Schizosaccharomyces pombe: one gene and its partners. The gene in region 4 interacts genetically with the main gene of each other region. Each region holds a gene or a part of one and is shown on either strand. Other genes may lie near its edges.

The links.
Region 1: mutations in mub1 (region 4) and scs7 together harm fitness more than expected from each alone (negative genetic interaction), as found in Schizosaccharomyces pombe (2 studies listed by BioGRID).
Region 2: mutations in mub1 (region 4) and sum2 together harm fitness more than expected from each alone (negative genetic interaction), as found in Schizosaccharomyces pombe (2 studies listed by BioGRID).
Region 3: mutations in mub1 (region 4) and hhp2 together harm fitness more than expected from each alone (negative genetic interaction), as found in Schizosaccharomyces pombe (2 studies listed by BioGRID).

The regions. Positions count from the first base shown.
Region 1 is NC_003424.3:4,055,033-4,059,538, forward strand, and holds scs7 (ER sphingosine hydroxylase Scs7), read left to right. Parts: upstream 1-1,743; 5' UTR 1,744-1,925; coding exon 1,926-1,983; intron 1,984-2,003; exon of another isoform or gene 2,004-2,271; coding exon 2,272-3,257; 3' UTR 3,258-3,783; downstream 3,784-4,506. Other genes in the region: RNA-binding protein Rsd1, read right to left, coding at 50-840, 932-985. UniProt on the Schizosaccharomyces pombe protein: Ceramide hydroxylase involved in the hydroxylation of sphingolipid-associated very long chain fatty acids. Postulated to hydroxylate the very long chain fatty acid of dihydroceramides and phytoceramides at C-2.
Region 2 is NC_003423.3:265,389-270,062, reverse strand, and holds sum2 (translation initiation inhibitor), read right to left. Parts: upstream 2,608-4,674; 5' UTR 2,574-2,607; coding exon 2,521-2,573; exon of another isoform or gene 2,483-2,520; coding exon 2,424-2,482; exon of another isoform or gene 2,386-2,423; coding exon 2,204-2,385; exon of another isoform or gene 2,096-2,203; coding exon 1,109-2,095; 3' UTR 655-1,108; downstream 1-654. Other genes in the region: SPOM_SPBC800.14C (uncharacterized protein), read left to right, coding at 1-356; trm6 (translation initiation factor eIF-3 gamma subunit Gcd10), read right to left, coding at 3,165-4,458, 4,595-4,674. UniProt on the Schizosaccharomyces pombe protein: Required for G2/M phase checkpoint control.
Region 3 is NC_003424.3:1,046,998-1,051,646, forward strand, and holds hhp2 (serine/threonine protein kinase (CK1 family) Hhp2), read left to right. Parts: upstream 1-2,000; 5' UTR 2,001-2,037; coding exon 2,038-2,201; intron 2,202-2,367; coding exon 2,368-3,091; intron 3,092-3,177; coding exon 3,178-3,492; 3' UTR 3,493-4,139; downstream 4,140-4,649. Other genes in the region: atp18 (F0-ATPase subunit J), read left to right, coding at 319-388, 438-488, 533-594. UniProt on the Schizosaccharomyces pombe protein: Involved in DNA repair. May regulate the activity of protein(s) involved in double strand break repair caused by gamma rays.
Region 4 is NC_003423.3:3,766,106-3,771,976, reverse strand, and holds mub1 (armadillo-type fold protein, zf-MYND type zinc finger protein, Mub1-Rad6-Ubr2 ubiquitin ligase complex Mub1), read left to right. Parts: upstream 1-1,992; 5' UTR 1,993-2,999; coding exon 3,000-4,724; 3' UTR 4,725-5,371; downstream 5,372-5,871. Other genes in the region: protein Cwf4, read left to right, coding at 1-944; mediator complex subunit Med10, read left to right, coding at 5,696-5,871.

The DNA of each region.
Region 1 (4,506 bases), on a different chromosome or scaffold from region 4:
AAACAGAATAATATCTATTTAAAAAAAAAAAAAAAATTATAAGACATACCCTTTCGATCGTCCGCTAATCTTGTCTCGAACAATTTGAGCATCGCGAACAGGACCAGCTTGTTCGAAAAAATCATATAATTCCCTAGAAGTCAAACGATTTGCGAGTTGAGAAACGAACACAGTACGGCGATCACGCTCTTCCTCTGAAAGTTTAGAGGAGCGTTCACGAGGACGGGAACGACTTCTCTTACGCTCATGTGAACGGTCATCATCCCTCAAGTCCTCATAATCATAATCATGGGCTCTAGAAGAACGAGAGGAGCGTTCTTCATAGCGGCGACGACTACGACTATGCCGCGAAGAGTAAGGAGGGCTGCGTGAATAATCATCGTATCGATGGCGACTACGACTTGAGGGATGGCGGCTTCGACTTGACCTTGAACTGCGATCGCGATCGCGAGAACGAACGGGTGATCTACTTTGATGAGAATCTACAGAAGAGTGAGGAGAGGGAGAGCGACTACCATAATCGGACCTTGGACTATATGATCTCCTATGGTGTCTTGGGGTGCGATGACTTGAGGAATTTGTAACTACATCATCGTTATAACCGCTATCCTCTCGTTGAAAAGATTGTTTGGAAGATCTGGCGTACCGATAACCCATTGAAACGGGAGGAGGAGTTAGACGACCTTCACTTTCGTAATTTTTAGACACGGGTTTGAAAGAGCGATCATGCAACCGTGTAGGCGGTGGAGGAGGGTTAGAGGGATGACTATGAGTGGAAGAGGTGAGTGAGGATTCATGAAAAGAAGAAGATGCCTTTTGCTGATTTTCTTGATTTTGCGGCTAGGAAAAGGGTTAGTAAAAACAATAAACACGGGAAGACAAAAAAACAAAGGGAAAAGGCGGGAAGGAAGGAAAAAAATTGTAAACGTACCACTTCTTGCTTACGAAAAGGAGCCTCAGCCAAGGCTTCCGCGTCCAGCTGCATTTAGATTAGATCTGTTTATCTATGCGTGGAAAATACGTTCGTTTATTTTCGTTTTCAATACAACAAACTCTGACAGGATCGGAACAGACTTCGACTGGAAAACTAAGTAAGCTAGTAAAAATGGAGTTTTGTCAGTCTAGTAGCTTTCGTCGCTTCTAACACGAATTGTTTTGTTAAAAAATATTAATAATGAGTACTCTTTTGAGCTATTTTGTCCTCTTTCTTTCGGTGGAAAAAAAAGTGGAATATTCTACTGCCTAAGCGATAAAAGATGAGAGAAATTTTAGTACAAACAAAAAAGAAAGCGAGGAATAGCGGAATAAGGAAATTCCAAGCTAAAAACAATTACCGACAATAAGAAGCAAAGAAACGGAAAGGAAGGAAAACAAAATTATACCTAACCAAACCAACGAAAAGTAAATCACGAAAAGTTAATAAATTTCGATCAACTTAAGGTTTTCTCTTTTCAAGTATTTTTTCGCAAATAATAATTTTTAGTCTACTATGAATAAATCAATGAATTGTATCTGTAAAGCACTTCACTCGTCTGTTCTTTCCCTGTGTATAGGCCCTTGAGTGCAATTTTCTGGTGTTCAGTTTCGGAACCCGTTTTGCGATACGGTAAATATTGTTTTCCGTTGTCTTACCATTTTTCGGAAAAGTCGATCAAAAATAGCACGATTTTTTGGTTCGCCCCGCAATGCCTTTTTGCCCTTTCCTGCGACATATATAGGCTACTGCATCCACGCCACAACATCGTGCCATTAACGCAACACAAACAAAGAACTGACATTTTGATCAATTGGACAAAAATCCAAGTAAAGAATCATAGGATCAGTTGCTACGTTGTAATATTTACTGTATTTGTTTATCAAACTCATCAGAAACACGCTTGCTACAGTTTTATCACGAATTAACAATTCATACTCCCATCTCCAAAATGGCCTCTGTTACTAGTGAAAAGTGTGTTATCCTTTCTGACGGCACTGAATACGATGGTAAGTATTTAAACAAGGAGAAATGGCAGGGTGTTTGGGTTTTGAGAAGGAGATTTGGTTGAAGGACTAAAATTTTTTCTCGGCAACAGAGTGTTTGAGAGGCAATGTATAAAAAACAATGAAAACGCATATAGCAAAGGCTTATTGGCAAAAGATCCATTGTGGGAGATGTGCCATTTCTTATCTTTTTTCTTTGTTCGTTGTGCTTTTAACTTTTTTTCACCTTTCCCCCTTTGCCTTAGTTACACCAAAATACATGTATCGTTCTTTATACTAACATTCCATTAGTCACCAACTACTTGGTTGCCAACAAGGACGCTGCTGACTTGCTTCGTCGCTATCACCGCCAAGAGGTTGCTGATATCCTTAATGCTACCTCCAAGTCCAAGCACTCTGAAGCTGTTGTTGAGATCTTGAAAAGTGCTAAGGTTCCTTTGAAGAATAAGGAATTCAGTGATCTTGTCGACCAGAACATTGGTGTCGGTTATGGCAATGAATTCATTGTCAAGCCTACCGATCTTGACAAGGATTTCGAGAAGAACCATTTCCTTGACCTCAAGAAGCCTTTATTGCCCCAAATTTTGTTTGGTAACATCAAGAAGGATGTTTATTTGGACCAAGTTCACCGTCCCCGTCATTACCGTGGCAGCGGTTCTGCTCCTTTGTTTGGAAACTTTTTGGAGCCTCTTACCAAGACCCCTTGGTATATGATTCCATTGATTTGGGTTCCCTGTGTCACTTATGGATTCTTGTACGCCTGTACCGGAATTCCCTTCTCTGTTGCTATCACCTTCTTCATCATTGGATTATTCACCTGGACTTTGGTTGAATATACTATGCATCGTTTCCTCTTCCACTTGGATGAGTACACCCCTGATCATCCTATTTTCTTGACTATGCACTTCGCATTCCACGGTTGCCACCACTTCTTACCTGCTGACAAGTACCGTCTTGTAATGCCTCCTGCTTTGTTCCTTATCTTTGCCACTCCCTGGTATCACTTTATTCAACTTGTTCTTCCTCACTACATTGGTGTTGCTGGTTTCTCTGGTGCCATTCTTGGTTACGTTTTCTACGATCTTACCCACTATTTCTTACATCACCGTCGTATGCCCAATGCTTACTTGACTGATTTGAAGACCTGGCATTTGGACCATCACTACAAGGATTACAAGTCTGCCTATGGTATCACCAGCTGGTTTTGGGACCGTGTTTTTGGAACTGAGGGACCTCTTTTCAACGAACAGGGAAAGATCAGCACTAAGGCTAAGTAGATTGTGATTGCGTTTGAATCATTTAGCTGCTAAATTGCTTTCAAGGTGTTAAAAGTTTCTTTGGTCCTTTTTAACTATCAATAATTTTGTGTGCTATATAAATCTTGTTGTATTTTTCTTTTCTTTTTTAATTGCTTTCCAAATTTTTTCTCCTCTCTTTACCCTTGAAATCACTAAGCAATTTTCCCCCATTTTCTCTCTGACTTTAACTAGGCCTTATTATAGTGCCTTAAAGCTGTGTATTATATTTGAATTGCAGAAACATCAAATTTGATTTAATTTGATTGATCCACTCGCTAAAGCATCTTGTATCCCACATTGAAATTGTCTTGTCTTTCTTCTTTTCTATTAATACTATTTTCTGGTTTCTTTTGAACAAGTTTTCAAACTTTACCTTGTTAAGTCGAACTTAATAATATTATCTTGACTATCGGCTATATAATTTGAGTCTAAGGTTGCTATTTTATTTTTCCTTTTATCTGTCTTTTAAATATAATTCGAATTTTTAATTGTTTTTACCACCCCATCTGTTTGTAGTGCGAAATGATTTTCTTGTAGAAGCATCTCCATATCATAAGAGCGCTGAATAGTTTTTGTTGACCAAATATGCAACGCCGAGACGAAAAATTTAGGAAGAAGATGAATAGAGATATCCACAATATATATGTTTTAACTATATTTAAGGGTCATTTTACATTTGTTTATAAAATGTAAAAAAATTTATTAAAAAGATCGTAATGAAAGGTGTGGGACTCGAACCCACGAGCTTTCGCACTAGTGCCTTAAACTAGCTCCATAACCACTCGGACAACCTTCCTTTTTTGAGTATTAGGGTAACTTAAATCATCATATAGGATTTCACTAATAAATTTTTATTTTAAAAATTTGTTTTCTTGTGAATAAAAGTGTAGCAATTTACTGATTATTTAACCAGAAAATAGATTTTAGACAAAATCTATAAAAATATTTGTTAACAGAAACTAGCTTGTGGGGAATGCGTTTAGAATTCCTCAATTACAAGTTGCAGGTAAATTTACCCTAGTGTTTGTTAAGCGGACGTCGAGTTATTAACCATTACTATTGACGTTGGTTAACATGAATAAGCTTGAATTATTGCCAAGTCATTTTCCTGACACTTTCAGATTTGTTTATTTGTTTTTTTCTCAACCTCTGACATTTAGATGCATAATACATGTCAAAGACTTCTTAAATGATTACGATCATCATGCCTTGAAGGAGTTTCCTCAAT
Region 2 (4,674 bases), 3.5 Mb from region 4:
CTCAATGGAAATACATATATAGTATGGGCAAAAAGAGCTTCCCATTTTTAGCCATTGCCAATGCTCTGGTTCAGGGCTATTTGTCTTATTCGGAACGGAAGAGAAGTATATTCTCTTCAAAATTGTATGCTATATCGGCTTTATCTGGACTATGTATTATTCCTTTCACGCTTTTGTTTATGAAAAAGGACATTAACTCTTTACAAACGTTAAATCCAGATCTAATACTTAAAGATGTAAAGGCTACTCAAAATTTCCGCAGTATAATTCACAGATGGGGTTTTAAAAACTTATTTCGAAGCGCATTTATGTTTTTCTCTGGTTTAGCTTCAATCGCTGGATCAATTTACTTTTGATAACAAAACATAATTGTAATGTATCGTTTACGTGTTAACTCTTGCGTTCCGATATTCGTTGATGATCAAATAATATTAAGTTCTAATTTTTCTACTGCTGATTATTAAAACACTATATCACGTAGTTAAGTTCGTGAAATTTAAACTATTAAAAAATGCTAAAATTAAGAGAGCACATTTTTATTTTTAAAACGATTCGCTTATAAATTGTTCATACTGCTCAAACATTGTTGTTTGGATTCTATAGTTTGTCAGCTTCAAACAAGTCGACTGAATCAAATTTTTACAAAACGCTTTTCAAAAACGAAACGACTGTTGAAAAACACGGGTTGTTCAATGTTCAGTCATGCAACCAGCGATGCTTTGGGTCTATCAAGGTGTATAAAAGAATAAACATTAGCGGATTGGTTAAGTCTTCAACCTTTTGGTAATTATATGTAACCCATTAACATTTATTCGTAATACCTTTACGAAATCTCGGTATAGGATATCGTTTCAATGCTTGTTCTTCTTGCGTAATACATGAGCAGATAAGTATAGTTTTTAAAGCACTCTACAAGAACTTAACAAAACTCCTAAGTTAAATATCAAATAACAACGACTAATCCTTTTGGTTTATATAAGAGAACACCTTTTTTCGGGTCGTTAAATACATGTCCATAAATTTTGAGTTCATCATGATTGAAACGAAGACGAAGCTCAATCTAGAGAAACGAGGATACTTCATCTGTACTCATTATAAGAAATGCAGTTCATTGGTCGTTTGCAGGCTGGGCTCTAGGTTGAGAGCCATTGGAATTCCTGTATTGGTTATATTGATTTCTTGCATATCCACGTCCACGACCTCTACCACCACGTCCACGACCACGTCCACGACGGCCGCGATTTCCAGAGCCAGCAACGCCAAATGTCTCCATGTTCAAAGAACGTTCGCGATCTCGTAGAGCTCTTCTATCTGCAGCTTCCATACCCTTCTCTTTACTTTCACAACTAATATTATCAAAAAAAGATTGCTTAGGCTTGTAAAATTCTTCGGCTTCTTCATCATTTTTTCCTTTTAACAAATCATCTTTCATCGATTGAAACTTTTGATTTGCAGTTTGAAAGTCAAATTCGGTACGAGGCTTTGCAGCACTAGCATCAGGTTGAGTTGTAGGAACTTCTTTAGAAGGTCCAGATGTTTCAACGGTTTGGGATTGAGAGACATCCACAGTAGTATTCACAACACGGTCATTTGTGACAGTGGAATTCCGTATACTAGTACTTTCTTTTTCAATAGATGCTTCAATGGAGGGCTGTGCACCTGGTATCACTCCATTCGTGGGCGGCATGGATTGAAGAGACGGAGATGCAGATACCGCGGTAGGACCAGGAGCAGGCATGCCCGGAGCAAAGTTGGGAGGCTTCTGGTTTGAAGGCATTCCGTATCCAGGACGTACGTTGTACGGGGCCTGACCGGCAAACCCTTGAGAAACATTTTGAGCAAACTCAGGACGTTGACCCATTTGCTGTTGATCAGGTGCCCCATAATACGGGACCGCAGGTGTGGATGCGTCTAAGGGAGTACCCAAAGGCAAACCTCCAGGAGGTACAAATTGAGCGGGAGCATTCGGGTACATATAGTAAGGTGCACCTGCTGGAGGAGCCTGTTGGTATGGAGCTCCATAAGGGTTAGGTTGAACAGGCTGAGGAGGTTGGGCAGTCTGCGCTTGGTTCCAATTATACTGCCCGCTATTAGACTAATTATAGTTAAAATCATGATCTTGTCAGATATATAAAGAGTGCCAAAGATAATTAATACTAGATATACTAATGAGAATCTCCACCACTCTTTAGACGTAACATACCCCAATAATTGCAGGATCATTAGGAGGTTGAACCGGGGGAGCAGAAGGAGTAGTAGCAGGTTCCTCAATCCGTAAATCTTTAACATCGCTTCCACGAAAAACAATGTAATCAAATACATTATCTGATGGGGGGATTTCTTGAGAGGGATCTTGTTTTCTTCCTTCAGTACCACACCAACGGACTAAACTGTTAGTAATCAATGCTGGGTACTCAACCTACCATGCTTCAAAGCCAGTGTTGAGTCCTGGGAATTGATGTCCTGCAAAATGCCCACATAACTAAATATTAGTAAAGGAAAGATAATGCTCTCACGTACCGAATGTCAGATTTGCTAATTAGACTAATACGAGAACCAATAAATTCAGTCATTGGTTATAAACTCGACGAAGTAAAGCTTAGTGGTGAAAGGAGCGTGGTTAGGTGTCCTTTCGAAATTAACGAACTTGGCGATAGCGCTAGTATGGGGTTCATTATACCGAGTAAATAAGACCAAAATGCGACATTGTCATTTATAAGCTGTTTTTTCATCAGTTTTTATATTTATTTAAAATTAACATGCTTAAGATCAAAAAGGCTATCCACAGCTGCTCTGACCATGTACTACTTATTTTACTTAAATACGTATATGTGCAGCAGTCAAATTGTAACTAATTTTATACTTATTACAAGTAATCTATTTTTAAAAAGAATGAAAATGCCAAGCAAAAGACACTGTACTTTAACGCTCTTCAAAATTGAGTTAACCTGAAACCGCACCGTCAATTACATTATCCAACTAACATATTCATTTTCTGATACGTATGAAAATTTTAAGTTAAAGAATGAAACAAAAAACTTTTTAATATAACAAAAACCTTTTCCCAATTCAACGTAACTGAGTTTATGTCCAAAATTGTAACTCCCCTTGTTGATCTAATAGAGTAGCCTTGAAAAAAATATTCCAAAAGTAATATTTCATATCTAATTTTCCAATTTTGCTTTTTTGACAGAAGAAGTTTCTTTCTGGCCCTTACGTTTTGGAAACCTTCCGGCAGCTAGATTGCTGTCAGAAGTTAACACCTTGATCCCAGATAAAACGAAACCCATATCACCCCTAACAGTCATGAATGGATGAGTCCTTTCTGGCAAGACTTGGTAAGGTCGTGTACGAATCTCATGAATATCCAGCATGATGACTTTCTCTTTCTGTGTATCAATAGCAACGTCTCCTTGATCAACCTTTTCGTCATTTTCAGTACTTTGAGCTGTCTTTTCTACAAATAAGTTATCCCATTTAGATAATTGATGATACGTCTCGACTAAGACTTGCTGATATGTTGAGTATACCATGAAAGGACGTGATATACCGAGCTTTGGAAGAAGATGTTGAAGAACAGACATTGGGGTGTGAATAGATAGTATAAAGAGAGCATCATAGTTACCACTTTCAAAATCATCAATAGTATTCTTCAAACGGTTAAATGTAGCTTTCTTCGTTTCATAGCGCTTACGGTGGCGAAGTTTCATCTCATTCAACTCTGATTCAGGAATATCTTCAACCGAATACTCACTTAAAGTCTCGGTTGGATTCGTAACTTGATACCAATTCAAAGTTTTCAAAATCCCTTTTTGAACCAAACTATCCTCTTTAAAGTCTTGCCCCCAATACTCTAAACAAGAGCTATTAGGTTGCTCATTTGGATGGACCAGGGTTATTTTGCAATCACCAGCAACACGGTCAATAAGAGAACCAAGGAACATGCATCCAGTCTCATCAACTACCAAATATCTACCCCCAGGTTTAACATTTCCAAGAGTAAGCATCAAGCTTATACACTCGGCAGTAAGATCAAGTATCTTATACGGATCATGTTCAATCATGTAATTAGCCACAACTTCAACACAAGGTCGTAAAACCTGAAAGCGTTGAAGATACTTTTCCCCTTTTCTCGTAACATATTTCTCCTGAGCAAATAAAGTTTTTTGCTCAAAAGTTTTACTACTATTAGTCAACTGTTTGATGGCCTCTTCAGCACGAAGTCCACCAGCTTTAATGTTTGCGCGCAGTTCATCAATCTCCTCTTGAGTCATAAGCTGATTGCCTCGACAATCATTAAGTTCTTGATTCGTTTTCTTTTCTTCCTCGATATACTGTACCTCCCTTGTTTTTAAAACTCGAATTTTTTTGGGTTGATAAATTTCAAAAGTTTCGTCAAAATGCTTTCCAAACAAATCATCAGCGAGAAATGAACCAAATTTTCCGAGGTGAATTGTACTATTTAATATAAAGTCAGTAAGATCAATATGAACGAGATAAACTAGATCACCTCTATCTCCTTATGCAAAAAACAATTTCAATTGCTATCATTGAAAATGTACTTTAAATTGTAAATTAAGATCCTCATACTTACTTGTTTGGTTTCAATGTTACAAAACGAACATTGTCTGAAGGAAGCTTGATGAAAACGCTGCTGTTTTCGGAAATAGTTGA
Region 3 (4,649 bases), on a different chromosome or scaffold from region 4:
AGTCAATCAGTCTAATCCCGAATTTAAAAACAAACGCTAATATGTGTTATGGATGTAATTGTGTAAGTTCGAACTTTAATTTAGCATGTCCATTTAACTAGCACTTCAAAATTTGGTTCCATCAGACTGAAGCTACTACCAAAAAAGAGTAATTTTTTTTATTATTTTAGAATTCTTTTAAAAGAAAATAAAATTAAAAAAATAATACACTAGAAATCGACATCGTTGACATATCCTAATATTGAGACTCCCAGTGATTGCCTTTAACTTAACCTCTCCACTCCCATCTCCATTTAAACAGAAATCGGAATCAGAGAAATGTCGTTCTTTGGCCTTAAAAGATATTCTACTCCTATTTTAAAACCTATGCTTCCTTTTTTTCTAGGGGGTATGTATATTTTTCAACGATTTGAATTATTATTAACATGTCTTGACAGGAGCCATCGTATTCTATGGTACTGTAAAGCTTCGTGATGCTATGATGGATTGTACGTTTTTAATAGAAATAGAACAATTTTTTAACTCTATGTAGCTGCGGAGTATCGCAATGATCCTAGAAACCCAAAGGCTGGAAAGTACGGAAGTGATCATTAAGTTGATGACGAGTTCATGTCTTTCACTTCCTAAAATGTTTCAGCCCTTTTGATGTGATTTAATGGAAGTCAATGAAATTACACTGCTTGTTTTTGTAGCAGTTACAATTGATCAAAAGTTCTGTAATCAATCGAATTTATTTGTAGGAGATCAATCATTTAAATTAAAGTATTAAATGTATATTTAAATATGAACTTTTCAAATAAACAGAAGGAAAAAATGAATTTCCATGCTTTTTAGGAATACATGTGTTGCACGAAATAAATATTCACTTTGACTGAAAAGTTATGTACTTAGTCGTCATTTAATTCGCTCATTTTGTAATCTTTTAATTTACCTAGATAATTTGATAATCCTCAGAAAAAGTACCTCAAACATATTGTTCCTATTTTGTGTTTCCAATTAAGCAGATCTTTGGGCACGGATTTCAAAAGCTGTAAAATAACGTATTACAGAAGGTTTAGTATACACTTCTATATTGAAGCTGGTATTGTATTCTCTAGAACTGAGGCTTTTACTAAAAATAAAGCAGTATTAGCATTTTTCGTTTTCAATACTACTTCGCCATGTAGGCGATCGTTTTTTGCATTCACTCCAAAAAAGAATCATCGGAAAAACTATTGAAAGAGAATAGCAGTTCAATATGATTCTGTAAGTAAAATCCTGAACGTTCATAGAAAATCATTTTGGATTTGTTTGCTTTGTTTACAAAACAAATCACTTTGAAGTGATTCTCTTTGAGGATATGAAAAAATATGCTAGAATTCCACATTCTTCATAATGTAAACAAAACATTATTGCTTTTTGTATCAATAAATTTAATCCAAACCTCTTTTCTTTCCACTAGAAAACCACATGTCATTCATATTTTGTACTTTTCGGAAGAAAGTCAGAACAAGCTCCCACTCAGGTACTTCATGCTACAATGTAATGCACAAACAATTGAAGGGTAAAATATCTGTTGGAGCAAATGATTCCGTGACATTTCAGCCACATCACAAACGGCTTACTTCGGAATAAACAAATATTATTCTAACGGAAAAGAAAAAAAAAAATCCGCGTTCAGTAGAAGTCACTGCAAAAATATGAACCAACAAATTTGAATTCGCTTTGCTTACTAAATTTATTAAGTCTCATGTAAAGAAACAATCAACATCCACAGCCTTAAGGCAATCATGGTACAAACATTAAATAAAATATTCCACTCTTTTAGAAACGAGCATCTTAAAAAATTAGTTGACGAGGGAAGTAAACAAAGACATTGAAGTATTGCTTAGTAAAATAAAAAATTAGTCACATTACATTGTATATATCATGTATTCAAAACATCCTTCTACTCCAAATATAGCTCGTTGCAGCGCTCTATTTGCCTTCCTCTTTGATTTCTGTGATGATGCGATTCTAACAACCACAGTCATCTCTGTGAATTAGAATCTTAGCAAAATGACGGTTGTTGACATTAAGATTGGTAATAAATATCGTATAGGTAGAAAAATTGGTTCTGGCTCCTTTGGTCAAATTTACCTGGGATTAAATACGGTAAATGGAGAACAAGTTGCTGTGAAATTGGAGCCTTTAAAGGCTCGTCATCATCAGTTAGAATATGAGTAAGTAGTGCTTTAATATTTTTTTACTTAAGTATAAGTTGGATTTCTTTCGGAACTCCAATTTCTTCTTTATATCTATCAACCGTAGCTCGATGTTTTACAACCAAAAAGGAAAAGCAAAAGTTACTCCATTTGGTTATTTTTCTTTTTTCTTTCTAACATTTAGGTTTCGTGTGTATAATATTCTTAAAGGAAATATTGGCATACCCACAATTCGCTGGTTCGGTGTAACCAATAGTTATAATGCTATGGTCATGGATTTATTAGGCCCTTCTCTGGAAGATTTATTCTGCTATTGTGGAAGAAAGTTTACTCTTAAAACGGTTCTTTTACTTGCTGATCAACTCATCAGTCGCATTGAATATGTTCACTCCAAGTCATTCTTACATCGAGACATTAAGCCTGATAATTTTTTAATGAAGAAGCACAGCAATGTTGTTACGATGATTGACTTCGGATTGGCGAAAAAATACAGGGATTTTAAAACTCATGTTCATATTCCATATCGAGATAATAAGAATCTTACGGGAACGGCTCGATATGCTAGTATTAACACCCATATTGGTATTGAACAATCTCGCCGTGATGACCTCGAATCGTTAGGTTATGTTTTACTTTATTTTTGTCGCGGCAGTTTGCCCTGGCAAGGCTTACAAGCTGATACAAAGGAGCAAAAGTATCAACGGATACGTGATACCAAGATTGGCACTCCTTTGGAAGTCCTTTGCAAAGGTCTTCCCGAAGAGTTTATCACTTACATGTGTTACACTCGTCAGCTTTCGTTTACCGAGAAGCCAAACTATGCTTATTTGAGAAAGCTGTTTCGTGATTTACTTATTCGTAAAGGATACCAGTATGACTATGTTTTTGACTGGATGATATTAAAATACGTAAGTTTTGAAAAGAAAATGATAAGGTGATACGTTAGTTTAACCTTAACAAATGATTGAAAATTCGATTGACTAACTATTATTAGCAAAAGCGAGCTGCTGCTGCTGCCGCCGCTTCTGCTACAGCACCTCCACAGGTTACATCTCCTATGGTGTCACAAACTCAACCGGTTAATCCCATTACTCCTAATTATTCATCCATTCCCTTACCTGCTGAGCGGAATCCAAAGACTCCACAATCTTTCTCCACTAATATTGTTCAATGTGCTTCTCCCTCACCTCTTCCTCTCTCCTTTCGTTCTCCTGTTCCCAACAAAGATTATGAATACATTCCATCTTCGTTGCAACCTCAATACAGTGCTCAACTGAGGCGTGTTTTAGATGAAGAACCAGCTCCTTGATTTTTTGACTTTACTTTTCATCAATTCCTCTCTTACACTACGTCTTTTAGTCTTAAATTCCAAACCATCTGTTGACGTTTTAAAGTTCCACAAATATCTTTAATAATTCCTGGCTTTCTTTTTTGTCTATGGATGGCCGGATTGCTACACTAATACACTTTGAGGTTTAGCTATTGTTTTGAGCTATTCCATTTTGCCTAGAAGTTGAGTTTTAATGCCTTCTTTTTAAATAGACATATTGTGTAAACCTCATACATGCTTTACTGAAAAGACATAATTAGAGGACAAAATTTAAATCGTGCTGTTTGTTTATATTCAGCTCGTTCCGGTCAAGTTCTTGCCAAAGAATTGAGTCAGTCGTGCTATTCATTTCTAAATTTCTTCTTCCCAGAATTTTATTTTATTGTTTTCGTTCCCCATTGGTTCTTACATTCCGTTTTTATTCAAAACTGAAAAGTTTGTACCTCCATTGCTAGAAGTAATATACACAAGGAGCATGTTTCTTTTTTTACACTATCATTTGCGTGGCTCTAAACCAGTCTTTATTGCCTACCTTTGCAATAAAAGATATAATATCAATTGCATAAGAAATAATTCATTAATAAATGATAAATTTCATCGATTAAATAGATCGCTATTTTTCACACTGTATTATGGGCAAGTAGCGTAAAAAATATTAGCTCTGTTGGAGTTGACCGCTGGATCATCAAGTTTTACATACTATTTAATTTCGGCTGTAGCAAAGAAAAATATCCATCGATTTGCCATATTATCATATCTATTGCTTTCTGTGGTATTTTAACCACCGGTATTTCACTTCTACAAATGTAAACAAAGCACGTTGATTTGTTTACATTACAGTTGCCCCAGTAACACATTATGGATCAGCACCACAAAGAAAAATCATTCAAAATTGATGCTCAAATTCAATATTCTACAGGCTCAAGAAGGGATCTATACTTATTTTTACTAAACCCATAACTATCATCTCTGTTTCGTCTGCGGTAAAAAAAAAATTGTTTAGATTAATGTAAAAACAGAGCAAAATGAGATTTGTCACTTAGTACAACAATGTGTTACCTCTACACGCAACTCCTGAGTTGCGTCGCATGTTATTTGATGAGCTGACTTTGCGCACAAAACCAATACATAACAAA
Region 4 (5,871 bases):
ACGTTTATATTTGGTTAAACTATTGCTTATTTGAAGAGATAGATGTGAAGGACGTTGACCGCGCAAGAAAGGTTTACCAAGAAGCTCTCAAGCTTATACCCCATAAAAAATTTACATTTGCCAAATTATGGCTCATGTATGCAATGTTTGAGCTTAGGCAACGTAAGATTGATGTTGCTAGAAAAACGTTGGGTCGTGCGTTGGGAATGTGTCCAAAACCAAAATTATTCCGAGGTTATATTGAATTCGAAGACGCAATTAAGCAGTTTGACAGGTGTCGAATTCTTTATGAAAAATGGATTCTTTATGATCCCGAGGCTTGTGCTCCCTGGCTTGGTTACGCTGCCTTAGAGACTAAGCTTGGAGATAGTGATCGTGCTCGCGCTTTATATAATTTGGCTGTAAACCAGCCTATTTTGGAAACCCCAGAGCTTGTGTGGAAGGCTTATATTGATTTTGAATTCGAGGAAATGGAATACGGAAAAGCTAGAAGTATTTACCAGCAGTTACTACGGACTGCACCTCATGTTAAAGTTTGGATTAGTTTTGCAAACTTTGAAATTGCCCATCTGGAGGACGATGACGAAGAACCACCGAATGAAGAAGTGGCTTCTCCAACCGCTGTTGTGCGTGCGCGAAATGTTTTTGAAAATGCATTGGCCCATTTACGCCAGCAGGGTTTGAAGGAAGAGCGAGTTGTATTACTTGAAGCATGGAAACAATTTGAGGCAATGCATGGCACGGAAGATACACGTAAGCATGTCTCTTCACTAATGCCACAGGTTGTTAAGAAACGCCGTAGACTTGAAGACGGTTCATTCGAAGAATATTTGGACTATCTGTTTCCGGATACGGCGACTGATCAAGGAGATAAGATGCGCAAAATGCTCGAACTTTCGCGAAAATGGAAAGAGGAAATGGCTAAAAAGAAGCTGGAGGCCTAGATTACATATGACATTTATTGGCGCTATCAGTTTAATATTTAGTAATCGTGTAAAATATTAGTAATTAATTGTTTACGAGGCAATGGGTCATGTAAATGGACGTTGTTACGAAGTTGAGGATATTCAGCGCTTTGGACTGTTCGGATAATAATAAAATAACTGTTTTTGCATTTGAAAGGCCGGAATGGCGCGTAGAAATAAGACAAGCAATCCATATTAGTATTATTAACCTTGAGTTTCGATCTGAGTTTACTTACTAAGCAAGATAAGCGAAAAATTTATGGATATTATGTTGAGGGAATCACACTTGTAGAAATGAGAAAGTTGTAAACATGACAATTTTGAAGAATCCAACGCAATTCGTAAATAACACATTAAAATACAATAAAATGAAAAATCCAATCCAAAATATATTTAATATGTACATATTTATATTTATAAATTGATTGTTCTTTACCTTGCCCCATTGACATACGATCGAGTATCTACCAGTGCGACTAATTTTAGTTTTGTTACTCAAAGTGGCAGGACTCACAGGTAAAGAAGCGGCTGGTTTGGAGTTGTGCTGATCTGATGAACTTGTCAATCAAATGAGATTACAAAATCTGACATTGGTTATTTTCAGCACTGACAGCTTATTCGGACCGGTTTACCCAAATGTTCTGCTAAAGTGAATTTACAGAATACAAAAATCGGCTTATGCGACCAACGTATTAGGCAACATTTTGACTTAAAAGAAAAAATTCATACACAGATTCTGCTAAAAACTTAAAGACACAAAGATGTTCGTATGAATAAAAAATGACTGACTATAGTGAAAGAAATACCAACTGTTGCTAGTTAAAGTTGCAGCAAGTTTTTTGAGTTATTGTTGCCGAGATGTCGATCTCTTCAAAGGTAACATCCAGCATCAAAGATCGCCGAGAGTTCCCAACCATTATAGCCAGTAACAACCCAGCATACTTTGCGTTATGGTGCCTTAAAGGTACGTTCACTGACGATCGTTTTCAAACTCGGTTGACACTCGGGTGAAATGAAGTTGCCTTCTGTCAACTGCCACTTCCAAGAATCTGAATAAGAGAACGAGGATCCGGGAAATTTTCGTAAAAAGAATTCATTCAATTAAAATTAAGGGACTTGCAAAAACTATTTACTGTGGTTTTTAAGCTAAATCCTTGCGATTATAAGAAAACACTTATTCTTTGTTTATCAACAAGGCTGATTTAGCTTCACCACCGTTTTCCTTTTCCAAATCCTAACATTTTTCTTCGAACTTTACTTTTTTAATTGATGCAAATCATCTTGTGCTATTCTCTCTTCTCTTACTCTTGTCAGCTGTGATTTGATTTTCCACTAATCTTGTCTAAAAAGGTACTGAGCATATCCTTTATTTTTATTTTCAAGGTTATTGTGGTTTTCATCAAACTATTCTTATTCATTCTCTCTTTGTATCTTCGTTAATCTCGGGTTTTTTTTGTTTGCCACTTCTCTCTTTCTTTAGCCTCGTGATTTTAGCAGACCCCGGGTTACAACTTTTTCGTTGTTATACTTCCTATTGTTGAACTTACTTGATCTGTGTCGCTTCTCGGCTAAAAAAGTGCCCTTGCTCCTTACTTCCTTTTTCTTTTAGTATTTTTTTTGCTCCTTTATCAGTTCTTGACTTCAAGCTTGAGCTAACCGTAGTCCCTTTTACGTTTACTCGTTTTGAAGAATAATTGGTGTAGATTGCTTAAAAGGATTTCAAATTCGGCGGGACTTAAAATCTGCGAAAACAGTAATTTTTATTTTTTTTCGTTTTCGTGATTTTGGGGCACTACTTATTCTTCCTGCTATCGGCGTTTGTTCTTGGTTTTTCTCTTCGGTTATTGCGTTTACACACAGCAGTTTTGAAAATTATTGAGTAAAATTTTGGTATTCGAAAACTGCTTGTCTTTAACTAAAAAAAATATTATCACATCGTTCGTTTTACGCCAATCTTTGCGTTTGCCAGTAATTTATACTGCAGCAATTGTCTTTAAAAAACTTTATACGTGTTAAATATATTATTAAAGAAAGATGAGGGAATCGAACGTTAGCATCGTATGGAATAACAAAGCTTCTGTCACTATCAATACAGTCCTTTATGATCGACGTGCGCTTGACTGTGACTCCGAAATGTCATTAATGAATTCATTAAGCCATCTCGTTTATTTGACTTCGACTTCACCGAAAATTCGTGAGATCCTTACTATGGATGGTGGTTTGATGCGTTTAATGAATATTTTACGTGCCGGACGTGGACAAACATTTGCCCGAATGACAATATGGCAGCTAGCTCTTCAGTGTGTCGTAAATGTTGGGATACGTGGGTCTGAAGCTATTCGAATTCGTGTTGTGGAAGCTGGTATCGTTCCTATTGTTGTCACCCTTTTAGATGATTTTTTGTTTGCGCTTGAGTCCGTTGTTTCTCACCATTCTCGATTTCAATTTTCCCTTACACCTTCTACTACCCCTCCTCCATCATCCGCATCTGCTCCATTCCCCATTAATTCTAATATTAGCAATTCTCTTGATTCTGTGTCTCAACACAATTCATCTGCTGACTCTTTGTTCGTCAACGGTGATGTACCATCTCCATTTGGAGCTAGTACGGCAAGCTCTAGCTCTAGAAGAGTTTATTCGGTGGATTTACGGGATAGTGGAGATGTCCAACTTCCAAATCAATCTACGTTTCGACATTCCGTGAATCGTGATTTATTGGGATCAAGCTCTACCACTAGTCATGATCGATCCTCCGGCTCCATTTATTCAAATGATTCATTTCAAGATCCTCGTGTTCAAGCAAACTCTCCATTAACCATTCAAAGAATTTCATCAGCTGCACCCTCTACTCCTACTTCTACTGAAAATGTTAATTATAACATGACTACCCCTTCTTCTCCTTCATACTCTCGTCAAACAGGCCCTGCTAGTGAGACAATTAATGACGAGATAGACTCTCCAAATTTTTTCTTTCCAACTCCGCTTAATATTATGACTACTACTCAGGATTCATCACGGGATGTGCAATTGTCTTTAAATAATGTTCAATCACAGGCCTTGAATAATCGTCAGCGTCGTAATCAACTTTTACCTGGTGTTCCTTCTACATCTGCGTTATTAGATGGCCGCAGGCCCGAAAATGTAGTTGATTATCACGGGATTGCCTCATTCTTTGACAACTTTGATAAGAAGATTAATAAACTCCCTCGTGAAGAAGATATACTTTTTGGTTTGCAAATTCTTGCTTATACTAGTAAAAACTATTTCCATATGCGTCCTTACTTCGAGTCTTCTAAAGATGTTCCAAGTTTACGTATGTCGCCCTTACGTAGCGGCAGTAAAACGTGGAATATTTTTCAGTTAGTCGAGCAGTTCACCTTGAAATTCTACCCCCCACAAGTTCAATACTGGGCCAGAGCTATCATGAATAATTACTGTCGGAAAGATGAAAGTCATGGTGGTATACGTCGATGCGCCAATTTGTTATGTAACAAATGGGAAGAGCACAGTCGTCAATTTGCTAAATGCAGAAGATGCCGACGTACAAAATATTGCAGTAAAGAATGCCAGCATCAAGCATGGCCGGGACATAGTCGATGGTGTCGCGTAATTCATAAAGATGGCAGGAATTCCAAACGAGAGAGCTCAAAAATAAACTCAGTCACTGAAAGCGAATCAACAGCATCCCCGGCTGCATCTGTTATTCCTGTTGGAACAGAATCTGTAACTTCAAGCACTCAGAGTGATAGCAGATTGTAGTACTAATGACAGTTTAATGACAATTTCTATCCATTTCTTACTAGGTATGCTTACGCTTCAAATAGACTTACAGTTGGAGGTCACACATATTCTTTTAATCATTTTTCCGGCATTCAATACTACGTTTTGAATTCATTCCTTAATTCCCTTTGCCATCAATTATTATTTCATGTGCCGTGAAGAATATGAATTTCAGCTAACTCTTTACTCGCAATTAAGTTAATCGTTTAACCTTTTTTTATGCAATTAATTGCCGATACATTCAGATTTGTTCTTCTTATTATGGATATCGTGTGGTTTTAGCAGGGCAATAATCATGAAAGCTTTTGAAACCTACAGGGAGGTACGAAGGTGTGGAGGCCACTGTCCTAATTTATTAAAACTTCGAGTTTCTTTTCCGACTGTCCTTCTGTTGCTTATCGTTTTTTCTCGTAACTTAAATGCTTTTACTTAAAATAATAAACTTTTTTCTTTTCAACTTGTTTTTGTTTGACTTGGTTACTTATTAATAAATTAGTCAAAAATTATACATAGCTTTTTCGGAATAGTTAAACCTATGAACAGGGCTAAAGCAATACGATGTGATATTGCATGAAGGCTAAAGCTTTTTGTACTTGTATACCTGGAAGTCAAGAAATAGATCGTACTAATGATGCTTTCGCTAAATTGACTAAACGAAAGTATTATTTCAAGTTATCTTGTCTGTTGACGCTAATATTTATAGAACATTTAGGAGGAATCAATATTATAATGAATTCAGTATTTCTCTATTAGTAGAACAGACTTTGTAATTTGCTTATTACTATAAAATTAAACCAACTCACTTGCAAATAGTGAACTGGAAGAAGTACCGTAGTTTAAGCATAACCATTATACAGTTGAGACAGCAATAAATTGAAGGCTGCTGTATTCAGTGCACTTGTGCTGCATTAAATTGATCTTTAAACCTATTTTTATCTTTGGTTTTCGAAATGCTGCCCCAAGATGACATGACTGATGAAATGAAATCATTGGCAAGCCGTTTAGAAGACACCACTCAGGCTTTTTATGACTTGGCATTGATCGTTTATAACCTTGAAGATACTACTCCATCTGATGCCATTCCTGAAAGCCTTGATACTCTTATCAGAGATCTCAAATCTCTTCC